7 linked regions of the Coturnix japonica genome follow. The protein of the gene in region 1 purifies or fractionates together with the protein of each later gene. This does not show direct contact. Links are inferred from orthologs where the notes say so. Each region holds a gene or a part of one and is shown in the gene's direction. Other genes may lie near its edges.

What was found.
Region 2: the proteins of WDR5 (region 1) and PAXIP1 purify together in Homo sapiens (affinity purification with mass spectrometry; 7 studies listed by BioGRID and IntAct, counting the BioPlex papers as one, with this or other methods). This does not show direct contact. The link is inferred for Coturnix japonica from reciprocal best matches to the Homo sapiens genes WDR5 and PAXIP1.
Region 3: the proteins of WDR5 (region 1) and RERE purify together in Homo sapiens (affinity purification with mass spectrometry; 5 studies listed by BioGRID and IntAct, counting the BioPlex papers as one, with this or other methods). This does not show direct contact. The link is inferred for Coturnix japonica from reciprocal best matches to the Homo sapiens genes WDR5 and RERE.
Region 4: the proteins of WDR5 (region 1) and E2F6 purify together in Homo sapiens (affinity purification with mass spectrometry; 4 studies listed by BioGRID and IntAct, counting the BioPlex papers as one, with this or other methods). This does not show direct contact. The link is inferred for Coturnix japonica from reciprocal best matches to the Homo sapiens genes WDR5 and E2F6.
Region 5: the proteins of WDR5 (region 1) and YAP1 purify together in Homo sapiens (affinity purification with mass spectrometry; 3 studies listed by BioGRID, with this or other methods). This does not show direct contact. The link is inferred for Coturnix japonica from reciprocal best matches to the Homo sapiens genes WDR5 and YAP1.
Region 6: the proteins of WDR5 (region 1) and BOD1 purify together in Homo sapiens (affinity purification with mass spectrometry; 3 studies listed by BioGRID and IntAct, counting the BioPlex papers as one, with this or other methods). This does not show direct contact. The link is inferred for Coturnix japonica from reciprocal best matches to the Homo sapiens genes WDR5 and BOD1.
Region 7: the proteins of WDR5 (region 1) and MGA purify together in Homo sapiens (affinity purification with mass spectrometry; 5 studies listed by BioGRID and IntAct, counting the BioPlex papers as one, with this or other methods). This does not show direct contact. The link is inferred for Coturnix japonica from reciprocal best matches to the Homo sapiens genes WDR5 and MGA.

Annotation. Positions count from the first base shown.
Region 1 is NC_029532.1:5,717,867-5,722,013, forward strand, and holds the start of WDR5 (WD repeat-containing protein 5), read left to right. Parts: upstream 1-1,347; 5' UTR 1,348-1,471; intron 1,472-3,139; 5' UTR 3,140-3,253; coding exon 3,254-3,334; intron 3,335-3,957; coding exon 3,958-4,066; intron 4,067-4,147.
Region 2 is NC_029517.1:6,810,911-6,814,410, reverse strand, and holds part of PAXIP1 (PAX-interacting protein 1), read left to right. Parts: intron 1-163; coding exon 164-348; intron 349-470; coding exon 471-514; intron 515-1,252; coding exon 1,253-1,320; intron 1,321-1,704; coding exon 1,705-1,807; intron 1,808-3,500.
Region 3 is NC_029536.1:2,582,241-2,585,740, reverse strand, and holds part of RERE (arginine-glutamic acid dipeptide repeats protein), read left to right. Parts: intron 1-414; coding exon 415-528; intron 529-1,168; coding exon 1,169-2,547; intron 2,548-3,182; coding exon 3,183-3,405; intron 3,406-3,500. UniProt on the Homo sapiens protein: Plays a role as a transcriptional repressor during development. May play a role in the control of cell survival. Overexpression of RERE recruits BAX to the nucleus particularly to POD and triggers caspase-3 activation, leading to cell death.
Region 4 is NC_029518.1:88,734,210-88,738,319, reverse strand, and holds the start of E2F6 (transcription factor E2F6), read left to right. Parts: upstream 1-1,310; 5' UTR 1,311-1,547; coding exon 1,548-1,613; intron 1,614-4,110. UniProt on the Homo sapiens protein: Inhibitor of E2F-dependent transcription. Binds DNA cooperatively with DP proteins through the E2 recognition site, 5'-TTTC[CG]CGC-3'. Has a preference for the 5'-TTTCCCGC-3' E2F recognition site.
Region 5 is NC_029516.1:163,400,871-163,404,370, reverse strand, and holds part of YAP1 (transcriptional coactivator YAP1), read left to right. Parts: intron 1-1,067; coding exon 1,068-1,180; intron 1,181-1,827; coding exon 1,828-2,066; 3' UTR 2,067-3,500. UniProt on the Homo sapiens protein: Transcriptional regulator with dual roles as a coactivator and corepressor. Critical downstream regulatory target in the Hippo signaling pathway, crucial for organ size control and tumor suppression by restricting proliferation and promoting apoptosis.
Region 6 is NC_029528.1:11,214,381-11,218,482, reverse strand, and holds the start of BOD1 (biorientation of chromosomes in cell division protein 1), read left to right. Parts: upstream 1-1,302; 5' UTR 1,303-1,378; coding exon 1,379-1,624; intron 1,625-2,133; coding exon 2,134-2,258; intron 2,259-3,782; coding exon 3,783-3,981; 3' UTR 3,982-3,983; intron 3,984-4,102. UniProt on the Homo sapiens protein: Required for proper chromosome biorientation through the detection or correction of syntelic attachments in mitotic spindles.
Region 7 is NC_029520.1:22,380,097-22,383,596, forward strand, and holds part of MGA (MAX gene-associated protein), read left to right. Parts: intron 1-1,007; coding exon 1,008-1,528; intron 1,529-2,974; coding exon 2,975-3,260; intron 3,261-3,500. UniProt on the Homo sapiens protein: Functions as a dual-specificity transcription factor, regulating the expression of both MAX-network and T-box family target genes. Functions as a repressor or an activator.

The DNA of each region.
Region 1 (4,147 bases):
TTCTTTCCTTTTCAGCATTACGGGAAGCTTTTCTCGCCCCCCAGAAGCCTCACAGACAGGTGTCTTTTCCAATGTACTTGGCAGATCACCAAGTTCAGGCTATTTGGAACCAAAAGGAATGAAAGACTTTGTGAGAGAGAAGCCTGCCAAGGCCCAGTCTTTCACAGAGAGGGAATTTGGACAGAGATCACATCCTGCTGATCCCAGCTGTGGCAGCATGGCCTGCGGAGCAAGAAGGACCCTCACAGATGACTCATAACCCACAAGTTCAATTTCATCCAAAGACAACAGGCTGTCCGTGCAGATTCTCTATTTATGACATTTGTTAAAGATAAATCCAGGACACTCAGAGGCTAAGGGGTTGCTTAGGATTACAATTACCATTTGTATTGGAAACTATAGTTTCCAGTTCCAGAAAGGTATCATTCAGTATAGATATAGATTAATATATATGAAATATCAGGCAAAAAAAGCTTCCACAACGAGAGGAGGCACAGTACAGAAATACAGGCTCTTGTCTCCTATGTGAAAGCAACACCTACCCTTATCACAAGAAAGCTGCATGAATGTATAGCATTACCCTGCTGATTTGTGGTATTTAGTCTTCTTTTCTTTCCAGAATGAAGACTATACACCAAGGCAAGAACTGGATTTATTCCCTAACAGCATAGGATGGATGGAGCATCTCTCACAGTTCCATGCCTGTATTTTCCCCCCATGGTAAAGGGCAGGGTTAAAGCTGCAGACTTCAGCTATGGGTTTCCAAGCTGGAGAAGGGCCTTGGCTTCATTACACCATCACTTTTTTCCTTTCTCAGCAGCCACCAGCATTTCTGGAGCCCGCAGATCTTCCTGTGTTACAGGGCCAGCACATAACACGTGTCTCTTGGTTTTCTTCCCTCTCACTGAAAGCAGTTCGGAAAAAAACCCACTGTTTTCCAGAAAAACACTGAAATTTGAGGAGAATCTGCATGCAAGCTAAATGGAAGCTAAATATATCCCTAGGCAGGGCTAGGCCGCACACCTACCCTCGGTATAACAGCATTACGTGGCCTGCTGTGCTGTTTACCTTACGGATTAGCTCAGTCTCCTCACAATATTGTGGGTTAAGCATGAATTTTCAGTGCTTTCGTTCCTTCATTCCTCAGGGCAGCGAGCACACACCTGAGGGATGGAGGCCTTCAGCACAGAGCCATTTCCAAAGGCGGGAAGCAGGCTGAAAAAAGAAGCGCGTGGCCCTTTAAGGCGCACGGCCCCCACTGATGCTTTTTGTCCCTCTGGCCGCACCGTAGCGCTCATGGGAGAGAGCGGCATTGTGCAGCCTTTGGCCTACATCGCGCATGCGCAGTGCCACATTCCCCGCCTGGCGGCTCCGGTGCTGCCGCCGCCGCCGTGTCCCCCCTCCGCCCCTCCCGAGGCAGGAGGAGGAGGCGGCGGTGCCGGGTGTGCACCCAGCCCTTCCCCTTCCCTCGGTAAGTCACTATGGAGCCCGGCTGGATGGGTTCCTTCAGCTCCGGCTTCGTGTGGGGAGCCGCCTCTCCTCCCTCCCCCACCGCCCTCACTCTGAGGCGAGAGGGGGCCGCGTGCGGCCTTGCATTGCTCTGTATGTGCATTGCATTGCTCTGTGTGTGCATTGCATTGCTCTGCAGCTCCGTTGCTTTGCCCTGCAGCTCCATTGCTTTGCCCTGCAGCTCCCTTGCTTTGCCCTGCAGCTCCGTTGCTTTGCCCTGCAGNTTGCCCTGCAGCTCCGTTGCTTTGCCCTGCAGCTCCATTGCTTTGCCCTGCAGCTCCCTTGCTTTGCCCTGCAGCTCCGTTGCTTTGCCCTGCAGCTCCATTGCTTTGCCCTGCAGCTCCATTGCTTTGCCCTGCAGCTCCATTGCTTTGCCCTGCAGCTCCATTGCTTTGCCCTGCAGCTCCATTGCTTTGCTCTGCAGCTCCATTGCTCTGTGCTGCTCCACGCCTCGCTGTAGAGCGTGCAGCCCTGTGGATGTGTGCACGCCCTATGTACGTGCACACACGTGGCTGTGTATCCTTGCAGGCTGTGTATCCTTGCAGGCTGTGTATTCCTGCAGGCTGCTGCTGCTTCTAAAGCCTTCGGGAAGTTTCTTGCTTACAAGCTGAGTTTACACGAGCTTCCCCCCTGGGTGTGGTGAGAAAGGGGTGTTTGCAGCCAGGGCCCTTTGAAGCTTGCCATGTGCTGCTGCTCAGGTTTGTATGAGGAGGTGCAAGGGGTAAGCTGTGTTGCTTGCTCAAGTTCCCATATAAGTTCAGGTTGAAATGCATTAGATCTGGATTATAGAGCTGGAGTTGCTGGTATTAACAGTAAGTAAGGAGTCTGTACTGTGCTTGTAAAGCTTGCAACTGGTGGCACTGAGCTCTGTGCCCTCCTGAGGACAAGATGTGCATCGTGGCTTGAAAAGTCAATGCTGTTCCTCTTGGATTTGCTGCCACAAGCAAAATGGATTGTGCTTGGGATGGGATATTGCAAATAGCAAAGGATTTGTAAATCCTTACAATGTGAGCTGCGGGTTATTCTGTTACACTGCTGAAATGAAGCTGAACTGCAGCGTGATTGTTCCCTCTGCAGCATCAGCCCTGATTGCAGGGTACAGCACAGCACTGCTCAGGTTTTGCTACAGAAAGCAGATCTGGTGAGGTTAATGCAGGGCTGCTGTTAGGCAGGGGGATCTCTCAAGCAGGGATATGGTGCTCACAGCATTTAGGGGGAAGGTATTAGACCAAAGTACTTGAAATAGGAAATGGAAAAATAAAACAAACCTGGTGTGGTTTTAAGCTTTGGAAATGCCTTATATATAAGGTGTTGTATTTGCTGTGTTGTACAGATGTTTCAAGGAATATAAGATAAACCCACTGCCTCTAAGAGCTACTCTGCTTTATTTGTAGTGATTGGTACAAAACACAGCAAAAAACGCTGTGCAGGAGCTGATCAAAGTCTTGTATTTGGGTTCTTGATAGACCACTAATAGACCTGTAGGCATAAAATGGCATGTTGCTGAGCAGGCGTACAATATGTTTCCTCATCATGTTTTCTGCAGACCTGCAGTTAAGCTGATCTTGTTCCTTTAGCTGCCTCTGATCCTTCTTTGATGGTTAATGTGATTGTTTGCTTTTTCTTCCAGGGTTTTGTTTCTAGCAGCGCTGTTCCTCTCCCCGTGGCAAGGGCTGCCTTGTGAAGCAGCACGTTCATTCTCCCCCTTCAAGCACCGTAGGTCTCATTTGCCGGCTTCAGAACCATGGCAACAGAAGAAAAGAAACCAGATGCAGAATCCACCAAAACACAATCGACTCCTTCCTCCTCAACCAATCAGAGCAAGGTGTGTGTGGGGAGCTCTGAACAATGCCTGCGTAAATGCACATGGTGCATACCTGCACGTGCACCAGGCAAACAGCAATTAGAGAACTGAATCAAGTATGCATTAAGAACTTCTTAATACGTCTGCCTCTGCTGTTGTATGGAGAGGGAAGTGTGCTGAAGGTTGTAGGGGAAAAGCAGGCTGAGTACAGCTTAGTGCTAGGTTGATTATTTGGTTGAAATAGAGTTTTAAGGGGCCTGGGGGAGTTGGCTTGTGGTTGCTTCTGAGCAAGGAATAGAACTACAGGCATTTCATAGTACTATACACAGAGTATAAAACCATCACCAGAGGTTTTATTTTAATCTCAAAACACTCTGTGCTCGAACTGTTGTGTTACTGTCATCTGTTAGTTGCAGGCTTGAAGGGAATTCAGATCAGGATGAGTTTGGTGGCACGTGGCTGTAATGTGCTTCTGGCTCCAGTGGGGGCTTGTTGAATTTGGTGGGGGGAGAGAATGTAAATGGTAGAATCTGTTCAGGTGAATGTATGTATTCATGTGTGCTGATCTCGTCTGATACTGAGCTTGTCACTGAGAAACTAAATTGGGAATTTATTCAACTCATTCATATGTATTTTTCTTCCAGCCTGCACCAGTGAAACCAAATTATGCTCTAAAGTTCACGTTAGCGGGACATACGAAGGCGGTATCATCTGTAAAGTTTAGTCCTAATGGAGAGTGGTTAGCCAGCTCCTGTAAGTATTGCTTTCTTACATCAACAGAATGCAAATACGGGCCTTGTAGAACTACTTGTCTTAACTGACTGGATGGAGAAG
Region 2 (3,500 bases), on another chromosome or scaffold:
TTGATATTGCTTGTTTTAACATGTAGAGCAAAAGTATTTTTGCCTGCTTTATTATTAAAATAGATAACTGGCCAACAAAGAAATACTGATATTTAAGTCTATAAGTATAAATGCTATGTATCTGTTTTATTAAAACCTTTTTTCTTCATCTCTGAATGATAAGACCCAGTGGCTTGAAGTATGAGAAAGCCAAAGAATGGAGAATACCATGTGTAAATGCACAGTGGCTTTGTGACATACTGCTGGGAAATTTTGAAGCTTTACGGCAGATACAGCACAGTCGATATACAGTGTTCAGTCTTCAAGATCCACTTTCTCCTAGTCAACATCTAGTTCTAAACCTGCTGGGTAAGTGTCCCAGAATTCTATGATCTGTAGCATTTGTTTATATAAACCTGTTTAATCAAGAGAAGCATCTTTATCCTTACCATAAATAATTGTGCACTTCTGTGGTGTTCTTCGTTTTGTAGATGCTTGGAGAGTCCCATTAAAGGTATCACCAGAACTTCTAATGGTATGTTTAGTTATACAGCTGTTTGTGTTAGATTGCTGCATAGTGTTTTTCACATCTGAGCACGTGTGCATTTAGTGTGAGGAGACCTGCCTGAAGAACCCACACAAACTGTCTTGGTGGCACTTGCTTTTAGTTGTCTGTTAGCATAAATCTTAAAAATAATCTTTTGTGGAACTAAGAAACTGCAGCGTATTATACAAAATTACTTTGGAAATATCGTGGCCTAGTTCTTAACTCTTTGCTTTTACATAAGACCTTTAGAAGAGGCTTTGTATTTTGGAGTCAATATCTAACACAATAACATTTTATATTACACAAAAATGCTTCGATCTAGCCTTTTGCATACCTCAGTCCATCTGTATACTTTCCTAAAGACAGGTGCTTAATAATTGTAATAACTTAATTAGTACCCAGATCCAATTTAAAGTATTAGTATAATTTGTTGACTTACTACATTTCAGCTTTAAAAGTAGCCACTATTTCTGTGTCTCTTACTGTGACTTTAGCTTCAAAACAGTCTTACACTTGCAGTCCCCTGTGAATTGGTATTATAGTCCATTAGGAATCTTAATTTTCTTTTAAGGAGTTTGTGTGTTTAATGCCTTCTCTAGCATGTCTTTATCATTTCTGTGTTTGAAGTATGATCTCAGAATGCTGCTGTACAGTTCTCCTGTTTCAGAATAGAAGTTGGGCTCCCTGCTCAGTTCAGGTGTAAACATACAGATGGTCTTTTTTCAGGGTGTGAGGTTGCCTTTGAAACCAAAGCAAAATGAATCCAGTCTTCAGCCATCTTCCAAAAGAGCCAGGTAAGAACAATCAGTGCCGATAGTCCCTCACTACTGTACCTTGTAACTGTGAACTGCTCAGCATTCTGGTTCCATGCCATGCCCTGCTAATTGAAATAACTAGTAGCATTTTTTTTTTTGCATATTGCCAGCTATTCAACAGGCTGAAATAGAATAGTAACTAAAGAGCAGAATAGGAAGAGAACTGGGAGAGAGCAGAATCAGGAGAAAATGCTCTGTTCTCAGCATAACAATTTTTTTTTATCTAGAAGATTGATCCTGCCTGATTCTCATTCATCTTTGTATTTTCATTCCTAAAATTTGCAGGAGTGTGCTTGTCTGTTTTTAAAGTAAGACAGTGTTTCACTCGGACTTACATTGTGCTGTATTTCATGCGTTTTGTAGGATTGAAGACCTACCACCGCCTACTAAAAAGCTTACACCAGAGTTGACGCCAATGGTGCTCTTCACAGGATTTGAACCTATGCAAGTTCAACAGTACATTAAGGTGACTTTTGCATTTACCTCTTGTAAACTATGTGGAAGCACTTGTGTTCTTGTTTTCTAAGACTTGATTAGCCTGCTTTTTTTTGAATAAAAACTGATACTGCAAGTGAAATCAGAATGTAGATTTATGTGAAATCAGTTTTGTTTGATAATTTTCCTGCTTTAGTTTACTTCATGCTTTTCTGCTACCTTCTTCTTCACTATGGTTGTTTTAAAAGACGAGGCCCTTTCATGTTTTGTGATGTTTTGTTGTTGTTTTTCTGTTGTTTGTTTTAATCAGCAAACTTCACAACCAAACTTTGGTGAGGAAGGTAGTGATTACTGTACTAGATAGGACCCAGACTACTTCTCATATAATCTCACATGCTTCAGAGGAAGCTGATAGGAGAACTAATGGCACACTTGAGATCATATGTTCCAAAGTTTTGTTCAGATCTTTCTTAAATAGCTCCCAAAACTGAATGATGTAAAAATCCAATCATTCCTTGAACTTTAACAATCACTAAGTATTAGTTCAAAAATAGTTTTTCATTTGTGATTTGTCACACGTTGGCTGAAATTTGAGACACAGAGGTGGTGATTTGTTTTTTTTTTTTAACTGCTGACCCCAGTAGGGCGTGAAACATCTTGTTGCTTTCACCTGCTCCAGATAAGCCAAAGCAAATGAAGACTAGTTTGATTCTCTGTTTCTTAGAAGTACATGTCACTTAAGCATACCCCAAATAACCTATTTTCTTCTTGAAAAATACTTTAGGTATGATCATGTAGTTGGAATTTTGAGTTTTTTTTCCATTATGGTATTTTTATTTGAAGCTTGATAGAACTTTGAAACATAAATAATTTTTCAGTTTATCTAGCTCAAGTTCCATTGTCTTCTCCCCATTCTGTCATGCTGATACCAAGTTGACTGTATGAAGAATGTTCATTAGAGCTATGGCTCACAAATACATCAAATAAATTTTTGGCCTCAAGGCTTGTAATGTTGAAACCAAATGTTGCAGGGATAATACCATTAAAAGTGTCAGTGTTTGAATACCTTCCTGAGGCAAGATACCTCCCATCTTCTTGAACTGGAGATTGTCTTTTTTTTCCTATACGCCCAAACGGATCCTTGAAATCAGAATGCAAATCTTGTAAGGTACTCACAGGTATACAGTGTTTGAGGTGAATATATATTATGGATGAAAACAACAGCTTGTACATTTCAGTGTGTACAACTTTAGTATTCACAGTGTGTTTTTGCATATCTCAGAGGAGTTTAGCAGTAGAGAGATGCAGTGTATTGGATAATACTTTTTTGTATCATCTTGATGTAAGCTGTCAAAACAAGCCAGCACAGTAAGGAAAAGCTTAAAACATTGTCCCTGTCTAACTTGTTTGTTACTATCAGAGCAGTACAGAGGGATGCCAGACATATTTCAGGGCTTCTAATGCATGCAGTGAGCCTTCTTGCTTTGTTAACATCTGATGTCTGATGTAATAAAATCACCCTCTTATGTTCAATTTTAATGCTTAAAAATCATGTGCATCTTAGCTGAGATGTCAACTCTGATGAGGTAGTTTGGGTTTGGTAATTCAGACTTAGTAAAAAAAGTGGTAGTTATTCAGTATCATCTAAAATATATAAGAAACAGATGCATGTAAAATATATGTGGCTTTCATGCAAGGAAATTTTGTCCTCTATGAATAAGAGT
Region 3 (3,500 bases), on another chromosome or scaffold:
CGTTACTGTTTTGCTGTATGCAATTTACTTGTTTTTCAGAGCTAGCTGACACTTTAGGCTGTTTCACTAAGTGCTTTTCCATGCAAGCACTGATGAAACAAAGGCAGATGAAGAAAGAAGCTTGCATTAAGCACTGTAAATTGAATAGCAGCAAGTTAAAAATAAGTAACTATTTCAGGCTCTTAGCAGGAGGGCTCCATCCATGGCCTTTCTGTAGGACAGGAAAAAATAAGAAGTTGAGCAAATGCTGACTTGGCTCGGTGTTAAATACTGGAGATCTCAACTTCTGATAAGTTCTCCTGCTCCATGGGAGCCCTCCTTGTTTGTGTTCAGCATGAAAGCACTGACTTGTGCTTCATTTACTTCTGTGTTTACATCACTGGTAACTGTTCTCTTCTGCTTCGTTTGTGGCAGAAAATAAAAGAAGAGGTATCTTCCCCTCTGAAGAATTCCAAGAGGCAGCGGGAGAAGGCGGCGTCTGACACAGAGGAGCCCGAAAGGTCCAGTGCCAAAAAATCCAAAACTCAAGTGAGTATTTGGAGAAATATTTTCATTTTTGGGAACAGTTTGAGTGTGGGAGGGAGCGCAAATCCTCCAACAAACCCTGAACACAAAACCAATTTAGGCCACAGCAAATTTTAACTTAATCTGTGGCTAGAAAGCAACCCGTATTATAATGTGTTCCGTCTGTTGGAAAGCAGTGGAACAACATAGGGTAAGTTCAGGAGTCTGTTTGTTTTATACTTAGGCAATACAGGAGGAACTTACTTAGTTTATTTCCCCCCCCCACACGCCTCAGATGTTTTTTTTTAATTGAAATTTGGCTTTCCCTTTTCTTTGACAAGTTAGAACAACTCTGGAGTTGTCATAATCTAATAGTAGCTGGGCTGAGCCTTCTCTTCTCCAGGCTGGGCAGCCCCAGCTCTCTTTGCATCTTCTCCAGCCCTGCACTTAGCTTCAGAGCCCTACATTGGATTCTCCCCATGTGTTCATCTCTGGTTCTGGGGGGCCCAGAACTCTTGTGTGCTGTGGTGGTGCTGCCTGTGCTGCTTTGTCCCATGAGATTCAGGGGGTGGTTTTGTCACTCAGCATGTGTCCCAGATGCTTCTGTGTGACACACTGCATGCAGTTCCTCACGCACACCTGTTTGTCTCTCCTTCTCCCGCAGGAGATCAGCAGGCCGAACTCTCCCTCGGAGGGTGAGGGTGAAGGCGAGAGCTCTGACAGCCGCAGCGTCAACGACGAAGGGAGCAGCGACCCCAAGGACATCGACCAGGATAACAGGAGCACCTCACCCAGCGTCTACAGCCCTCAAGACAATGAGAGCGACTCAGATTCATCCGCTCAGCAGCAAGTGCTGCAGGCACAACCCCAAGTACTGCAGGCACCCAGCAGCTCCGGCCAGGCTCCTCCTCCCATGCCCCCCATCCCAGCCCAGCTGCCAGCACCGCTGCCAGCAGCCTCGAGTGCTTCTGCAGCTCCGACACAGGTTTCACCACCAGCATCCCAGGCCCCCAGCCAGCCCCAGGCCCCCGCGCCGCCTCCTCCTCATTCCCACATCCAGCAAGCCCCTGCTTTGCACCCGCAGAGACTGCCATCACCCCACCCGCCCCTGCAGCCTCTGAATGCATCTCAGAGCCAGCCCACCCCAGCCTCGTCGCAGCCCCATTCGCAGCCTCCGCTGCACACTCAGCCCCAGCCTGCCCCGCACAGCCTGCAGGCACAGCCCCTGCTGCCTCATCCCGTACCCCCCCAGCCATTCTCTCTCCCCACGCAGTCGCCTCAGTCTCAGGTTCCCCTTCAGACACAAGCTCCATCTCACTCCCACTCTGCACTGCAGGTGTCTCAGCCCACCCTGCCGGCCTCAGCCCCATTGCAGCAGGCCCAGCCTCCACGGGAGCAGCCACTGCCCCCCGCGCCCATGGCCATGCCTCACATCAAACCTCCCCCCACCACCCCCATCCCGCAGCTTCCCACCCCTCCATCCCACAAGCACCCTCCTCATCTCTCCGGCCCTTCTCCATTCTCAATGAACTCCAACCTGCCTCCGCCACCAGCTCTAAAACCCCTGAGCTCCCTGTCCACTCACCACCCTCCATCTGCGCATCCTCCTCCCCTGCAGCTGATGCCCCAGAGCCAGCCACTGCAGTCCTCGCAAGCCCAGCCTCCCGTCCTGACCCAGAGTCAGAGCCTTCCCCCATCCGCCGCTCACCCCCCGTCTGGACTCCACCAGGTATCCTCGCAGCCCCCCTTTTCTCAGCATCCCTTTGTGCCCGGAGCCCCACCATCCATCACCTCTCCTTCGTGCCCCTCCACTTCCACGCCGCCTGCCGTGCCCGGCATCCCGCTTCAGACTTCCATCTCCACGTCAGCAGCTTCTAGTGGGAGCGTGCCAGTGGTGACGTCCTGCACGCTGCCACCTATCCAGATCAAAGAGGAGGTCCCCGATGAGGCTGAGGAACCAGAAAGCCCCCCACCTCCACCACGGAGTCCATCCCCAGAACCAACTGTGGTGGATACACCGAGTCATGCCAGCCAGTCTGCCAGGTATGGAGGTTGGCAGCAGTGCTTCCTTGGTGCACTTCTCTTTAGCAGGACCCAAAAGCTTGCATCTCTCCTGCTTGTTACAGTGGAATTACTTTCTTTTTTATCAAGAAAATACTTTGTTAGGGACTTCCCCCTGCATTAAGCAGTGGCTGTGTTCCCTTCCACCCTTCCCAAAGATAGCTAAGGGAGATAAGTGAATCTTCCTGCCTCCCATTCCTGGTTCTTGCAGGAAGGCTTCCTGAGCTGAAATGCAAATGTTGCATGGTTAGAGTTCTCCTTTCTCTCCTAATTGTTGTCCTTATGTTGTCGGCTCAGAAGACTTCTGAATGCATGTGAGAAATCAGCTTCAGTAAGATGTGAATGTGTTTTACACGTGCATCTTGTCAGCCCTTGTTTTAATCAGGGCTTTGCTGTTCTTCTCTGTGAAGGTGCTTCTTCAGACAGGGGTATTGGAGGTTGTACTTGTGAGAGGGGTATTGTGCTCTGCTTGTCTGTGTTGTCACATGGCACAATTAATTCCTTTCGTTCCCTTTCAGAAAGTGTACAGTGATAACTTTTCCTCCTTGACATGTAGCTCTTAAACCTCAGACTTCCACCTTTCCAGAACTGATTTCTTTCTGTTTTGTTTCCCTCAGGTTCTATAAGCACCTGGACCGTGGCTACAATTCCTGCTCAAGAGCAGATTTGTACTTCATGCCTCTGGCAGGATCCAAACTGGCCAAGAAGAGAGAAGAGGCCATTGAAAAGGCCAAAAGGGAAGCGGAGCAGAAAGCCAGAGAGGAAAGGGAGAGAGAGAAGGAAAAAGAGAAGGAAAGAGAGAGAGAACGTGAGCGTGAAAGAGAAGCAGAAAGAGCTGCGGTAGGTTTATTTGTAGCTAAAAGCTGCTTAAGAGGGTTGACATGGATAGTGACTGCAAAGTGCACATCCCCACAGGTGCCTGAATGCACGTGCAG
Region 4 (4,110 bases), on another chromosome or scaffold:
AACCCGGGTCATTCTGTGATTCTGTGTGATTCTGTGATATACAAAAATATAGACAGATACTTGCATCCATATGATACTTACATGTATAATTTGTCTTTAATGCTTTCATACTTATTCACTTTTTCAGGACAATATTAGCTTTGGCTCATCTTTGCAATTGCACACATGCATCTACAGGAAAGCCCAGCTGCAAGATTTCATTTAAGGGGAGACTGCATTTGAAACCAGAAAATTTTAACGAAATCATTGTTGTAGGTTATATGAATGTTAAAACATCCCATTCAGCAAATGGAATGACCGCCCTCTGGTGGTGGGTCGAAAATCGATCCAATTGGAGAAGATATGCCTCCAGTTGAGTATAACAGCAAGAGGATAATCTTCATTCCTTATTGGACTGTACTTTCTGCTATTGAATACTTAGAGAGCATTATGTTGCCCGTAAGAAAGTGTGTGTTTTTAGGTATCAGTGATGTGTCACAGAAGCACACAGAATCACAGAATGACCCGGGTTGGAAGGGACCTCAAGGATCATGTAGTTCCAACCCCCCTGCCTGGCAGGGCCACCAAACATACACCTTTACTAGATCAGGTTGCCCAGGGCCCCGTCCAACCTGGCCTTGAACACCTCCAAGGACGGGGCATCCACAACCTCACTGGGCAGCCTGTTCCAGGGCCTAACCACTCTCCTAGTGAAGAACTTCCCCCTAACATCCAACCTAAATCTTCCCTCTTTTAACTTAAAACCATTTCCCCGTGTCCTGCTATTATCAGCCCTTTCCAAGAGTTTACTCCCCTCCTGGGAGTAAGTTCCCTTCAGGTATTGAAAGGCTGCAATGAGGTCACCCCGCAACCTTCTCTTCTCCAGGCTGAACAAACCCAACTCCCTCAGCCTGTCCTCATAGGGGAGGTGCTGGAGCCCCCTGATCATCTTTGTGGCCCTCCTCTGGACCCTTAACAAAATCTCCATGTCTTTCTTGTACTGAGGGCTCCACACCTGGACACAGTACAACAGATGGGGCCTCACAAGAGCCGAGTAGAGAGGGACAATCACCTCCTTATCCCTGCTGACCACCCCTCTCCTGATGGAGCCCAGGATCCCATTTGCTTTCCGGGCTCCCAGAGCGCACTGCTGGCTCATGTTGAGTCTTTCGTCCATCCCCCTGTGCAGCCTGTTCCATTGACCCCCACACAGCGCTCAGTGATGAGGGCACTGAGGTAACGATGCACACGGCGCTTCCGCTGCGAGAGAGCGGGAAATCCCCGCGGCACCGGATTGGTGCTCGGCCTTTGCGTCACCTTGGCCAGGTGCGCGCATGCGCAAACGCTCCATCCGCCGCCCGGCCGCCCACAGGTGGGGGAGGGTAGGAGCGGCCGCAGCGCTGAGCCCAGGCGGCCCCGGCACCCCCTCCACCCGGAGGTGGGGCGGGGATGGAGGCGCCTTTATCCCGCACGGGCCCCCAGCAACATCGGGTAGGGTTTTGAGTGCTCTGCCGTCTCATCGAAGTCCGCCGCCGGCGTGAAGGAGGAAGAGGAGGGGGCGCGCCAACATGGCCGCCGCCTCCAAGTGGGAGCGCCTGAGGCCGCTGCGGCCGGACACGCTGCGTCTGAGCGCGGTACGGAGCGGGCGGGGAATAGGGATGGAAATACAGCCTGGGAACGGCCAGAGGGCGGGGCTGGGATGGGCTGGGTTGGGGCTTGGATCCTGCTGCGGAGGGAGGGAGGGGTGTGTGGGGAGGGACGGCGCTGCGGGTTGCTGGGAGCGGGAGGACGTCAGGATAGAGCTTTTCTAATGTAGCTCTTTATAGAATCACACAGAATCACAGAATGAGCCGGGTTGGAAGGGACCTCAAGGATCATGTAGTTCCAACCCCCCTGTCTCTTTACGGGTAGAGTGGAGAGGTTTGATTTAAAACTTGGTTTCCCAGCCAAAATAGGAGTGCTTCACCACCAGTGCTTCTAATTAATGGGTACATATGACTGCAGAGAGTTGAGTGGTGGACTTAATAGAGACCCAGTACATTTTAAGCGCTAAAATCTGGAACGTGATGAAATGTAATCCCTTAAAAAGCTGTTTTAAAAGAGAAAACAGTTTCGGTTCTGTCTCTTTACAAAGAACAAGTTGACACGGTGCCAAAAACAAAAAATGCAGAACTAGAAAGAGGAGACAGAGCTGCTGGGGGCCATTGGGAAGGACAAGGAGGAGGTGGTGAAGCTGGGACCGAAGCTGGGAAGGCAGCGAAGGATGGTCGGAAAGTGGCATCGGCAGCCGAGGCCTATGGGGAGCTGTGAGGCAGAGTGGCCTCGTGAGGCTTATAGAGGTGTTATAGGCCTTGTGGGTTGGGTTTGTGTTCTGGGCCCTGTAGGGGGGATCCCAGGGCCTTCTAGAGCCTTTGTGGGGGGAGCATTCAGGAGTATAGGAGCATAGAATCACACAGAATCACAGAATGACCCAGGTTGGAAGGGACCTCAAGGATCATGTAGTTCCAACCCCCCTGCCTGGCAGGGCCGCCAAACATACACCTTTACTAGATCAGGTTGCCCAGGGCCCCGTCCAACCTGGTCTTGAACACCTCCAAGGACGGGGCATCCACAACCTCCCTGGGCAGCCTGTTCCAGGACCTAACCACTCTCCTAGTGAAGAACTTCCCCCTAACATCCAACCTAAATCTTCCTTCTTTTAACTTAAAACCATTTCCCATAGAGATCCCGTAAATGCTGTAACGGAGGAATTGGGGCCCTATAGATTCTATAGGGTGCTCCCAGGACACCATAGGGCAACAGAGACTCTTTACAGTGCCCTGTTGTCCAGGGCTCTCTCCCTCTCAGGTATTTTCTCAGACCTGAGTGCACTATTTGCAATCAGCCTCTCATCAGACTCTGGTGATGTTAAGCACCAAGTTAACCTGGTCATCTAGCTCAGGTCTGCTCCTGTGCTGTCCATGAGGTATGTAGCAAGAGCTCCACCTGCTTGTATGTCTGCAGCGTGCTGTGGGGACTGAGTGCAAGGCGTGGGGAAGGGCTGAGTGGCTGTGCTGGATGGTGACTGTACCACCTCCCTTGGTAGCCTTTTCCAATGGATCACCACTCTTTCCAAGAAAAAAAACAAACATTTTCTGGTATTGAACTTGAACCTCCCCTGGCACAGCACGTGCTTTGGGACTTTGGGAGAGCAGACTTCGGGACTCAGCTTATTCAGGCAACACATCACTGAAATATTGGGAGAGGCAGCTTGGAAAGATGAAGGGGTGGAGGCCTGTAAGGACATCATCGAGGGTGACTGGAGCTTTTTAACTGCCAAGGAAGGGTGAGTGAAGGAAAATGTGAATTTGCTGCTAAGGGGAAGAAGTGGTTTAGTGAAAGCAGACACAGATAAGGCTGGAGATGTTAGAAACCTCTGGGAATAGGCTGGAGGGATGGATCATCAAGGAGATGATCAACTTGAACAAGGAATTTGAAAATTAAGTCTGAATCCTATACCTGGAAGTGTAACTTGATGTGGTAAAGGCTGGGAAGTGAGATGTTATGGAATTATCCTGCTGAAGAGTCCTGTCCTGACCTGAGAATCTGTATGGACAGTGGGCTAAACATGAGATATCGGTATATCCTGCACTGAGGTGTATGCAGTTCTCCTTTGCTTGTCAAGTATTTGCTTCTGTGGGTGTGGGAGCCATAGTGGTGAGGCTGGTCTCTTTTCAGCAGTGCATGGGGATAGGACTAGGGGTAATGGGATGAAAGTACAGCATAGGAAGTTCCGCACGAATGTGTGGAAGAACTTCTTTACAGTGCAGGTGATGGAGCACTGGAACAGGCTGCCCAGGGAGGTGGTGGAGTCTCCTTCTCTGGAGATATTTAAGACCCGCCTGCATGCCTACCTGTGTGACATGGTGTAGGGAGCCTGCTTTGGCAGGGGGGTTGGACTTGATGATCTCTAGAGGTCCCTTCCAACCAATTCTGTGATTCTGGAGTGCTGTGTCTCATTTGGGACTGACCGATACAGGAAGGATGGTGATAAACTTGAGTGCAGCCATCAGCCATCTGTCAAAAGTGGCACATGTGTTAAGACACGTAACTGAAGGAGCATTTTAAGCCACAGCAACCCACGACTAATTG
Region 5 (3,500 bases), on another chromosome or scaffold:
GTTGAAGCTTGGCTGTTAGTAGACAGAAGAGGAGGGAGGTAATGGTGTAGTTCTACAGCTGCTTCCGCTTGTGACCGTTTTGACTGGTGGGGCTGTTTGCATCCTTTCAGCTATTACAGCAAAATATTTTCAGATGTATGCCTAAGTATAACAAGTAGCAGCTCCTTCCAGCTTCTGGAAATAATTATTCCAGTCAGGATAATGATTTTCACTGTTGTATATAAACGTTTCTTATTGTTCTACTTTCAAAGAAATAGTTTATGTGACTTATAAGAAAGTCAACTGTAAACTGGATCCCCCCAGCTGATTGTAGGTCATCTGATTGGCCTGTTCTTCCCAGTCCCATCCCAAATTTCCATTGCAGCTCCCTTGGTCTTGTCTGCTCCACTGGTAGTAAGATGGCAGCGAGAAAACTAATATACGTAAGGCCCTGTGCCATCTTGCTAACTGTTCTGTCAGCAAGATCATTCTGAACAGGATTTGTTTACAGAATGGCTTCTGTACAGGATTTGATTTATATCAGGGCCCTCTTGCCATGACATGTACGACTGAACTGGTAGTAATGCAACAGCGGGAAGCAACTGAAGAATTGCTAAAAGAGTTCCAACTGTAGCTCCTATTTATAACAGCACTGACCTAAAAATGCACTTTGGTGGCTGATTAAACAAGGGGACATTAGTAGTTAGAATGCTCCTAATCCTTACTGAAGTGTGAAATGTACACCATTATTAGCTCTGTAATGGTTAAGGACTGTGATATGCTTCGAATGGTTTTTAGCTGTGGGTGGGTGTGAAAAGTTTAAAACAGTGTGGAACATCGATAGGCTGTTTCTTAAAGCTGCTTAGGTATGTTCTTACTGAGTTAAATTGAACCTCAGTGCTGTGGTTTTCATTGGGAAAGGTCAGTGTAAAATGAAAAACTGGTGTCTCACACAGACTTCAGCTTTTAATTAGAACGGAGCATTTCTTGTGACAGCCACGTTATCAAAACCCCTGCACTGGGGTGTGCAACTATTTTAGTTTCTCCGATGCTCTACCCTCATTTTTGTTGCATTTTTTCTGTTACAGTGGAACATATCACTCCAGAGATGAAAGCACAGATAGCGGACTTAGCATGAGCAGTTACAGTGTACCCAGAACCCCCGATGACTTCCTGAACAGTGTTGATGAGATGGATACAGGTTTGTTCTCCTTAATACACCCTTTTCAGTCGTGCTGGTATCAAATGCTCAGCCCCTTTGCAGTGAAAACAAGTGATTCTGAAAAGCTCCAATGTTTTTTGGGGGGGGGGGGGGGGTTATGTTTGTACTACCTCCTTCTATTTCTATTGCAGAACTATTATAGTTAAATTTGTGAAAAACATCCTTGTAATAAATTCTACTGGAAGGCTCATAAAGGGAATAATTCCTGCAGCTATATGGAATTTGAATACCCATTTGCTTTCTTAAGAAAGCAAAAGTTCTAAGCTAAGAACTTACTCAGTATTACTATACTATTATTATATAAGTATGCTTAATCAGTATTGCTAATGTTGCTCCCAAATTATATTTGACTTGTTATTGTCTTTTATGCATAAAAACTAAAACATGCTAAAAGATCAAAGATCTGTAAAGATTCAGGTTAAGACATGAAAAGTTTGAAACAAAGGCAAGTTCTTCGTACATCTGCATGTAGCCAAGTCATCTTTAGTTTTTGTGATGAATTTCTATGAATCACAGTTTTTGAGTGATGCAAAGGATCCAGGATTAACCTTTAACCAGTTGTGATTAATTGTGGGTTTGGTACTTCCAGTAAATTGAACATCCATCTTGCTTTTTGTTATAACTAGGTGACAGTATCAGCCAAAGTAACATACCGTCCCATCAGAACCGATTCCCAGACTACCTTGAAGCCATTCCAGGGACAAATGTGGACCTTGGGACACTGGAAGGAGATGGGATGAATATAGAAGGAGAAGAACTGATGCCAAGTCTGCAAGAGGCTTTGAGCTCTGACATCTTAAATGACATGGAATCTGTCTTGGCAGCCACCAAGCTAGATAAAGAGAGTTTTCTTACTTGGTTATAGGGGCCTCAGGGAGACTGAATTCTAAATCTGTGAAGGATCTAAGGAGAATAGGACATCTGTATCTGAAGTTCAGAGCAAGCCAGTGTGGCACACTTTGGCTTGTGTTCAGAAAAAGTAAATGAACAAATATTCAGCAAGATTCTTTCGTTTTGCTCTTCCTTGTCCATCGCTGCTGTTATATATTGCTGACTTTTTTCCACAGTTGACTCTGAAGAACAGACATCTTCTTGACCTTTTTCTATTGCTGTTGCAACTACTGTTGGGGGGTGGGGGAGGGAACGATGAGCCTATTTGAATGACGAATGCCATTCCTTTTGTCCTAGTGTGCGCTTGCATATCATTTTTATCTAAGTACTCAGATTTGAGAGTAAATTTCTGCATGTCACTGCTTGTAGTTTGCTCAGCTAGTTGTCTCCTGCTGCCTGTGGAAAGTGGTAAAACGTGACATACTGGAGTGACAAGCCGAAAATGATGTATCTGGTCAAATGAAGTCAATACTGATTTGGAGATACGACCTAAAGGAGGGCTGAAAACTGGCATTAGGTGTTTCCACTAGTAGCTCCTTCATTAGCCATGAAGTGCTCTTGTTCATATTTTATGTTATAGTAAATCATGAGTCCTTTTACATAGAAACATATATGAACTTTGATTGTTGCCACTTATTCTAGCCTAACTCTTGTTTGTCAAAAATAGTTTGATTATTTTTGTTAGTTGATTTAACTGTAGCTATAGGATGGGAAGTAATTCTAGGTGTTCTTTTTTTAAATAGTGAAATCTAAGGGTTTTTTTTTTTTTCTGATTTCACATAGTCTTATTTAAATCTGAATTGTCTGCTTTTTTTTTTATACCTAAACCATGCCTATTGTAGCGCAATAAGCTAGTGAGTACATAAAACAGTATGTTTTGCCCGTAACTTTTCTATTTTTTTTAAAGGCTAGCTTTGAATGTAATCCTTAGGATCCATGACCAGTGGCTTATTTTTCATGTTTCTTTGCAAGATATTGAATTAGAAGCTAAGTGCGCTATTTACGATTTTAAAACGCATTTTGAAGTAGCAGAAACAATTTTACAGTGACCGAGATGCGTCCAAGCTCACCTCTGGTTTTCAGTTTTGTATCTGAATGAGTTTAGATTCTTTAAGGGGAAAAAACCTTCTGAAGATTTTCTCCTGAGTTAGTGTGGGAAAATGGTCTGAACTATGAACATCACTGTAAGCTGCAATGAAAAGGCTAGAAGACCAAAAAAAATAACACAAGAATCCTCAGTAAAAACTCCGAAGTGTAATAGTTGTCAAATTCCGTTTGGTGAAAAATAAGCCCTGGGCACGACGTAGAAGTCTGTAAAGATACGTGTTAGATGGTGACGTGAGCAAGTAATGAAGTGTATATTAGCAGTAGAGCTTAGCATTGGGTAGAGGTGAATATGAGTTACCTT
Region 6 (4,102 bases), on another chromosome or scaffold:
GTGGTTGGATTTATGAGCAAAAATTTCTTCAGAGAAGAGATAGTCTGCGTAGGGCAAGGTTGGATGGGGCCCTGAGCATCATAGTGCCTGATTTAGTGGTTGGTAGCCCAGCCTGCAGGCAGAGGGTTGGAACTAGATGGTATTTGAGCTCCCTTCCAAACCAAGCCATCCAGTGGTTCTACACTTAATGAGCTCTGTCTAATCTTCCATTGGGGCTAACAATGACTTTTTTTGCCCTCTCTCCTTACCCTGTTCCCAAACGCAGAACACATAGGCAATGGGAAAATCATGGTCCCAGCTCAGTGCTCTAATTTGCAGACTATGTGTGTATGAGAGTACATCTGTGTACAAAGCTTCATCTGCCTTCCCTGCAGTGTTCCCATTATCCCCTGCAGTGCCCAGCTAACACTGCCTGCCCTGGATCTCTGTGTCTGATCATTGGTAAGATAAAACCATTAGAAACTGGAGTCCACAACTGGCAGCTGGTTTTGTGGACAGAGGTTGCCAGGAGAAGGAAAACCACCTACTGTGTTGGTCATTTAGCACTGATACAGGAGCTGGAAAACCCATAGAGAGGAATATGGTCCTTCTCCTCTTCCAGCCATGATGGCTCCTAAATCCTCCCAGTGTCCAGTGAGTCACATGTAACCTAAGGAAGAAACCTTATCAATCATATGGAACCAATGGTACTATATGGAATGGACAAAGGTTCAATTTTCAATTATATTGTATTAGATTGTGTTATCCTGTATTTCAATATAGTATTTTAGTAAATAAGTGTGCCTCCTTAGATCATTGCCGCTGTTTTCTTTTCCTAATTAACTTTTTCCTTTCGGCCTTGGGCCCCTGTGGGGCCCACAGCCCCGTGTCATGGATGCAGGTGGATTTTTGTTTAAACCTGTGGTTTAAGGGCAGTGTTTCCTTTAGGTCATTTCATACCATCATAGAATGGTTTGGGTTGGAAGGGACCTGCAACACAGTCCAGTTCCAACCCCTGTGTCTATATCTACACCTCCACCTCCACCTCCCATTAAACCAGCTCAGCCCTGGCAGCCCCTATGGGGCTCTGTGCTGTGTTCTCAATGCGATGTGACAGGGCCCAGCCGAGGGACGGCCTCGGGGTGCCCTCTACCGGGGGCCGCCTTTCGTATCCCTCCAGGCGGTGCAGGCCGCGGGCAAGGCCCCGACCCAACCGAACTACATTTCCCGAGATGCATCGCGAAAGAGACTCTTTCCTCCCCTTCCACCGTGCGTTCGCGGTGCACTCTGGGAGATGTAGTTCCCACGAGCAGAGCGAACCCACACGCATTACGCAAAACGCAGCGCGCCGCCGTGGACGGTCGCAGCCGTTGTTGGGCCTCGGGTTCATCCGTTCGCCATGTCCGACAGCGGCAGCGCCGGTGGATCCGCCCAGGGAGGAGGAGGAGGAGGCGGCGGTGCGGGAGGTGGAAGCGGAGCGGGGAGCTCGGGAGGTTCAACATCGAGCTCCGGGCCCGGAGCCACCAACCCGGCCTCGCTGCCGCCCGGAGACGCGCAGCTCATCGCCATCATCGTGGAGCAGCTCAAGAGCCGCGGGCTGTTCGATGGATTCCGCAGGGATTGCCTGGCCGATGTGGACACCAAGGTAATACGGCTTAAACTTCCAGTTGTGTTCAGCCAGAGCCCCATTGGGACACCCTGCAGCTGTAGAACCACCCCAGAAGCAGCCATAGGGCTGCCACGGTGAGATCAGCGCTGAAGGATAGGGACACACAGGCTGGTTTTGCAGCCTGGGTCACTGCACTTATGTTACATTCATCACTACATGTGTCTAAATGATGAAATTCCTTTGCACCTGGCTGCACACACAGCTTGCATTTCACTGAGTAACATTATGAGCAGACAGCAGTTATTAAAGAAACCTATCCTGCTTCCTAACTATCCTATTCAGTTATTGTAACGCTACTGTGACAACCAGTTCTTTGCAATTACCACTTACGGTAAGTACAGGCTTAGCTTTGTTCAGAAGGTGAAGGGATGGAGCATATGGACAACAAAACAGTGGTGTACACAACAAAAGAAGTACCAGGAAAGATTCTGGCAAGGAATTTGAGATCTTTTACCAGCTTAATGGGATTTTACTCTTTTTTTTAGCCAGCCTATCAAAATTTGAGGCAGAAGGTGGACAACTTTGTATCAACCCATCTGGACAAACAGGAATGGAATCCAGCAATGAACAAAAACCAGTTACGAAATGGGTTAAGACAGAGTGTGATTCAGTAAGTAAGCAATATTCCGTGTACTACCGTATCGTTGATAAACAATACACAACAATCTATCCTATCACAGAAGTCTTATAATTTGCATAACAACCTTCTGTTGTTGTTTCCAGCCACTAGCAGGCAGTAATGGAACTAGGCTGGCTTGATTTCCTGCAGCAAATGGATGGCTTTTTTCAGCTTTAGAAGATATGCTTCTAGCACAACAGGAAAGCCTGATTGAACTCTCCTGCTTAGACATTTAGGTTTTGTACCTCTTGCTGCTAATTCATCATAGCCTGAAGTATAAACCTTAGATTGTTTGGCTAAAGGTCATGGATAAGAACATCACAGCTCTAGGGAGAAGGCAGTAATGAACTTTATAATGGCAATTATGCTTGTAAAGAAATTTATTAGAAAGCCTTGCACACAGAAGAAGCTATTTCTCTTGATGGATGCTGTGAAACAATAGTATTTAATGTTAGTTTCAGTGTTTCTTCGTTAATGATAGAAGAGAATATTCACTGCAAGTACAGAATTTCCTGTCTATACTTGAAGCCCTTGGCGCTTCTGTCACTTCAAGCTTCCTCTTATTTCATACTAATCAACCACAGAAATGAAATGGCAATAGAAAAATGTTGTATCAGAGTCTGTAGAAGATAAAGTGCTCACTTTGTATAGACTACTGGTATAGAGAGTAAACAAGCAGCTATAGGAGTTTGAAGAGTCCACGTCACTACTGCGAGTACAAGACTGAGTGCTGCAGGCCATCAAGGCATGCCTCTAGATAGCTGCCCTTTGTTGGCTGCACGTACACACATGCTCTTTCTTACTTGGAGGTGACATGATGTGCAGTGACCCTGCACCCAGTTGCTCACCAGTATCCACAGCATTATTAGTCTTGTGGCTGCTTTGCTAAACACCAGGCACTGTCTCCATTTCCTGGCCCCTGCTCCTTTGCAGACATGACTTAAGCCCTCTAGACTGCCTGTGCCCTGCAATCCAAGAGTCTGACGCAGCCCCTGAAGCAATAAGTCATTTCAGTTTTTAATGCTGAGTTCCAGAAACGTTGCCGTGTGCTACGTGTGCTTGTTTGTTTAATTAATACCCATCCGTCTAGACTAACAGTTACAAGGAGTGAGTGACAGTAATGTTAGTAGGGAGAAGGCCTTTTCTCCCTCAAGTTAGCCAAAAAAAAAGACTGCTCTCAGCTGCCCTCCTCAGAATAGTTTGTTTCTTTTGTTTGTGGCAAAATGTGTTGACCTCGTTTCCACATAAGCCCTATTAAAGTGGTTCTTGTCCAATATACCATGTAAGTACCTGGAAGACCAGATGTCAGTCATTAATTCTATGGGGAGAACTGTGAGGGGGTTGGGGAGAAATAGGTGTTTGAAACAGTTCCCTGTTAAGGATCTTCTGAGTGGGTTGCAGTTCTCACCATGTTAATGCTAATTGCAGTTGACAGCAGGGCTCTAGAGAGTTACTGGAGGAGATTGGGGAGAAGTTTTTCAGAGGAACTGAATGACTTCTTTGTCTTTGTTCAAGGTCAGGAATGCTGGAAGCTGGAGTGGACAGAATTATTTCTCAGGTTGTGGACCCAAAGATCAACCACACATTCAGGCCCCAGATAGAGAGGGCGATTCATGAATTTTTGGCTGCACAAAAGAAAGAGGAAAGCGTGCCAGCTCCTCCTCCAGAGCCCGAGAATAAAGATCCTCCTGCTCCATCTCAGGATGCGTCCTAAAGGTCTTGTATTTCTGCACTTACTACTGTTTCCGTGTACCTCATGTCTGTAGTTTGTATAACGCAAAATAGAGAAGGCGTTGTATTCTTTCTGGTTTGACAGGGAGGAGGACACTTTGATC
Region 7 (3,500 bases), on another chromosome or scaffold:
TGGTAATTAGATACTTAATAAGGAATGGAAATCAGAGGGTTCCTTCCCTACTCTCATTACTTTTTCATTACTTAAGAAGTAATAAGTTTACGTGTGGTTCTGTGAGTCTTGGACCCTCGTGTTCTTCACTTAGAAGTGTATGGGTCAAAGAAGTACCTCTACTTTATATGGAGCTGTTTGATGTTGGTTTATTTTAGTTGAAGTTGAAAGGTTGAACTGAATTTTTGCAGTACATTATGTATGAATGTGGCTTTGAGTTTGTAACTCATAAAGAGGAAGGTTTAGGCATCTTTGTCGCTTTCTGTTTGAAATGGCCCAAATCATGTTGCAGTTCTTAAAATGAGACGTACTCAAGGCATTGTGTCATCCACTAATGAAATACAGCTGCCCTTTTAAGCTGATTTTTTTTCCCACTGTTTAATGTATACAACAGCATTCTGTGTTTAAGGATGGGAATGGAAAAATAATACAACTAGTTGAAAACACTGAATTGGTATGTCAAAATTACAATGACCAGGACACAGGGCTCAACATCCTTATACTTTTGCAAAAAGTGGTGTTTGGATTTCCAATGACAGCAAAAAGTTGTACTTCTGTTAAACATCTTCCACAAAAGACAGTTCTGTTAGTGGCTTATTTGTCAGAAATAGCATTATTGGACGCTGGTCCTTTTCTGACTCCAAGAGAAAAGTACCATCTCTGGAATAATGAGTGATGCTTTCCATATTGATGTTGCTTGGAGGTGTTACATCCACACACTGAACCGGTCCAGCTTTGTTTAGCTTATGAGATGCTACGGGATACAACCTGAGATAGTATGGCTACACTGAATTAACTGTGGAAGTTAATGAATTCCCCTGTGCAAGGGGAAGTGATGTTTTGAACAGTTCTTTTTACTTGCCCTGCAGCTGAGACAAGGGTGGAGGTGGGCAGAGTAAAACTGTTTTGAATATCCAGGTGATTAAAATGCCACAGTATTGCAGAAACCTATTTCAATTCTTTCTCAGAGAAAAGTTCGTGGTCTTCCCATAGTGAGGGGGACTCTTCCTCCGCCTCCTGTGTTCATCCCACCACTCCATGTGCACCATCCAAACTTATCGAGATTATGTCTGACTGCAACTGGAATGAAGATTGCGATAAGATCTTGACCATCTTATCAAAGCACATCAACAGTAACATGCCACAGAGCCTCAAAGTTGGTAGCCTCATTATTGAATTGGATTCGGAACACAAAGCTCAGGATGCAGACAACCCTCCTGTGAACTCCTCCAGAGTGAAAATTTCAGTGCCATCCAACCAGGACAGTGATGAGAAGCCTGAGTCACCAGACTTGGAGACTCCCGATAGTGGAGTGCCATCATGTGATAAAGCAGAAAATGTAAAGTCCTTTCAGGCTTACACATTGGACAAGCTACGGGAGAAGTTGCATGGGGGCAAAGGCTTGCCTTTTTATGCAGGAATTTCTCCTGCAGGAAAGCTGGTTGTCAACAAACGCAAAGCTAATATGAGCCACTCAGGCTTGATTCAGGTGGGTCCCTCTGCCTTTACTGTGGAGATTAGATTCAGTTTCATCCAGTATCATAGAACCCCTTAAAGACGAGAGCAAACACTCTTTTAATTTGTCAACCTAGTCTTCTTACTGTCCGGACAAGATTTCTTCATATCCAGTGATGGTTCTGCCTCTCTGTAACTTTGTCCCTTTTAACAGGACATCTGATTCCAAGTCTGAAGTCTGGTGATTTAGGTTGGTCTTTTGGCCTTCTAGGTCTTGGTGGCGCAAGTGCAGAATGTTTCTCAAGATCTCTGAGCTTTTGAAAACTCCCTGCAGATGCATTTGACAGTTAACACTTCTGAATAAGTGGCTGTCAGAAGCCGCAGAAAGAGTATTTTTAGAGTAGGTGTATTCACTGGGACAAAACTTTAAAAGGAAACCGTAAACATTAAATTGCTTTTTATTCAGTTTGCTAGTCTTGACTAATAGCTCGTGTTGTCTTCTGAGTACATGTTAGTGATGAAGAGACTGAAATTCAGAGCATGTCATTTCTCTGCAGTCTCATGCTGCCAATGTGCTATTAGGGATTGCTGGCAGGAGCTGTAGGGCTAGGATCTCTTCTTTTTCAAGGATATTTTGTGGTCGTAGTAACACCACTTGCACTGGAGGTGTATGAATTAGAAAATGAAAATTGAGTGCATTTGTGTAATGCTTTGTAGATGCTTTGCTCTCCCAGGGAGAAGCTTGCAGAAAGAGCAGCCTAGAGGCAGACTTCCTGTTTTAAAGAGTAGAGGTCTTTTTCATTACGGTGTGTTACAATAAGTGCCTTTTAGAGGCTACTACTGAGCAGCCTGGAAGTAAAATGCAATACTGCCAACCAAATTAGTATGAAATTTCCTGCTTACCACTAGGCTTACAGCCTGGTATCCAGAAAAGTTTGTTTGTTCTCTCAGTTACAGCTGCAGATCTCAATGTGAGGTTGGTCAGCTTATGATACAGTACAGACAAGAAAAGAAAGCTGACAGAGCTTTTGCAGAGTCCTTAGAGTTTTGTCCCGATGTGTATGTATGTGTTCTTTCTTCTGTACTGTCAGGTGTTCATAGCTTAGAGAATTCTATCTAAAACTGTCCTCATATCTGGAAAACCACTCTTAACTCAGGACTGCAGTGTAAGTAGGAGAGAAAAACGCGTGCTAGCTTCCCTCTACTGAATTTCAGTGATTTCTTGTGCTCCTTTGAACTCTGTGGCTCTGTGTGAGAGTCTTGAGCAGCATCTAATATCTGTATTACAATGATATAACAGAGTTGCTTGAAGTTACTCTGAGCAGCAGGGAAATTAGGAGTTCCCATTCTGAACTGTAATGTGGCTCTTTGTTTTTGTTTTTTGAAGAGGACGCTTAGAAGTCCTGTGGAATGAAACACCTCTCCAGAGGTGGTGAACTAGCATTCTTTTCACAAAATTTCCCTTTTCCACTTTTTTCAGGTTAATGATAAAAGGTATCCTCAGGCCAAACTGCTTTTGGGACAGATGGGGGCATTACATCCCGCCAGTCGGCTAGCTGCTTATGCCACAGGCAGGCTGCGACCCACAGTACTTGATAAGTCAACCCTCAGTACTGTGATCTCCAAGGTAGCATCCAATGCTTCTGGGACACCATCAGTCCAGGTGCCCACAACATCAGCTCCCAAAACTACATCTTCCACCAGCACTACTTCAGACCCCAGTGTGAAGACTCTGAATGCTCTTTTCCCACCACTGAGACAGATAGGTAGGTTGGAACTTATTACTGTATTTTAAATTGCGTGAAGGTAAAATAAAAAGCAAGTGTACAGCATTGCTGTTGATTTCTTAGCAACAGTACCTGCTGCCTTTGGCTGACTTGCCAACTAAGCTGCCTCTGCAATAAATAACCTCTCTAAAGTAGAAAGGTTTATTTTGAGTTCACAGTAAGACTAGTGGTGTTGACTTCAGTTATTTTACTAACAATACTAGAGCATATTTTCAAGAA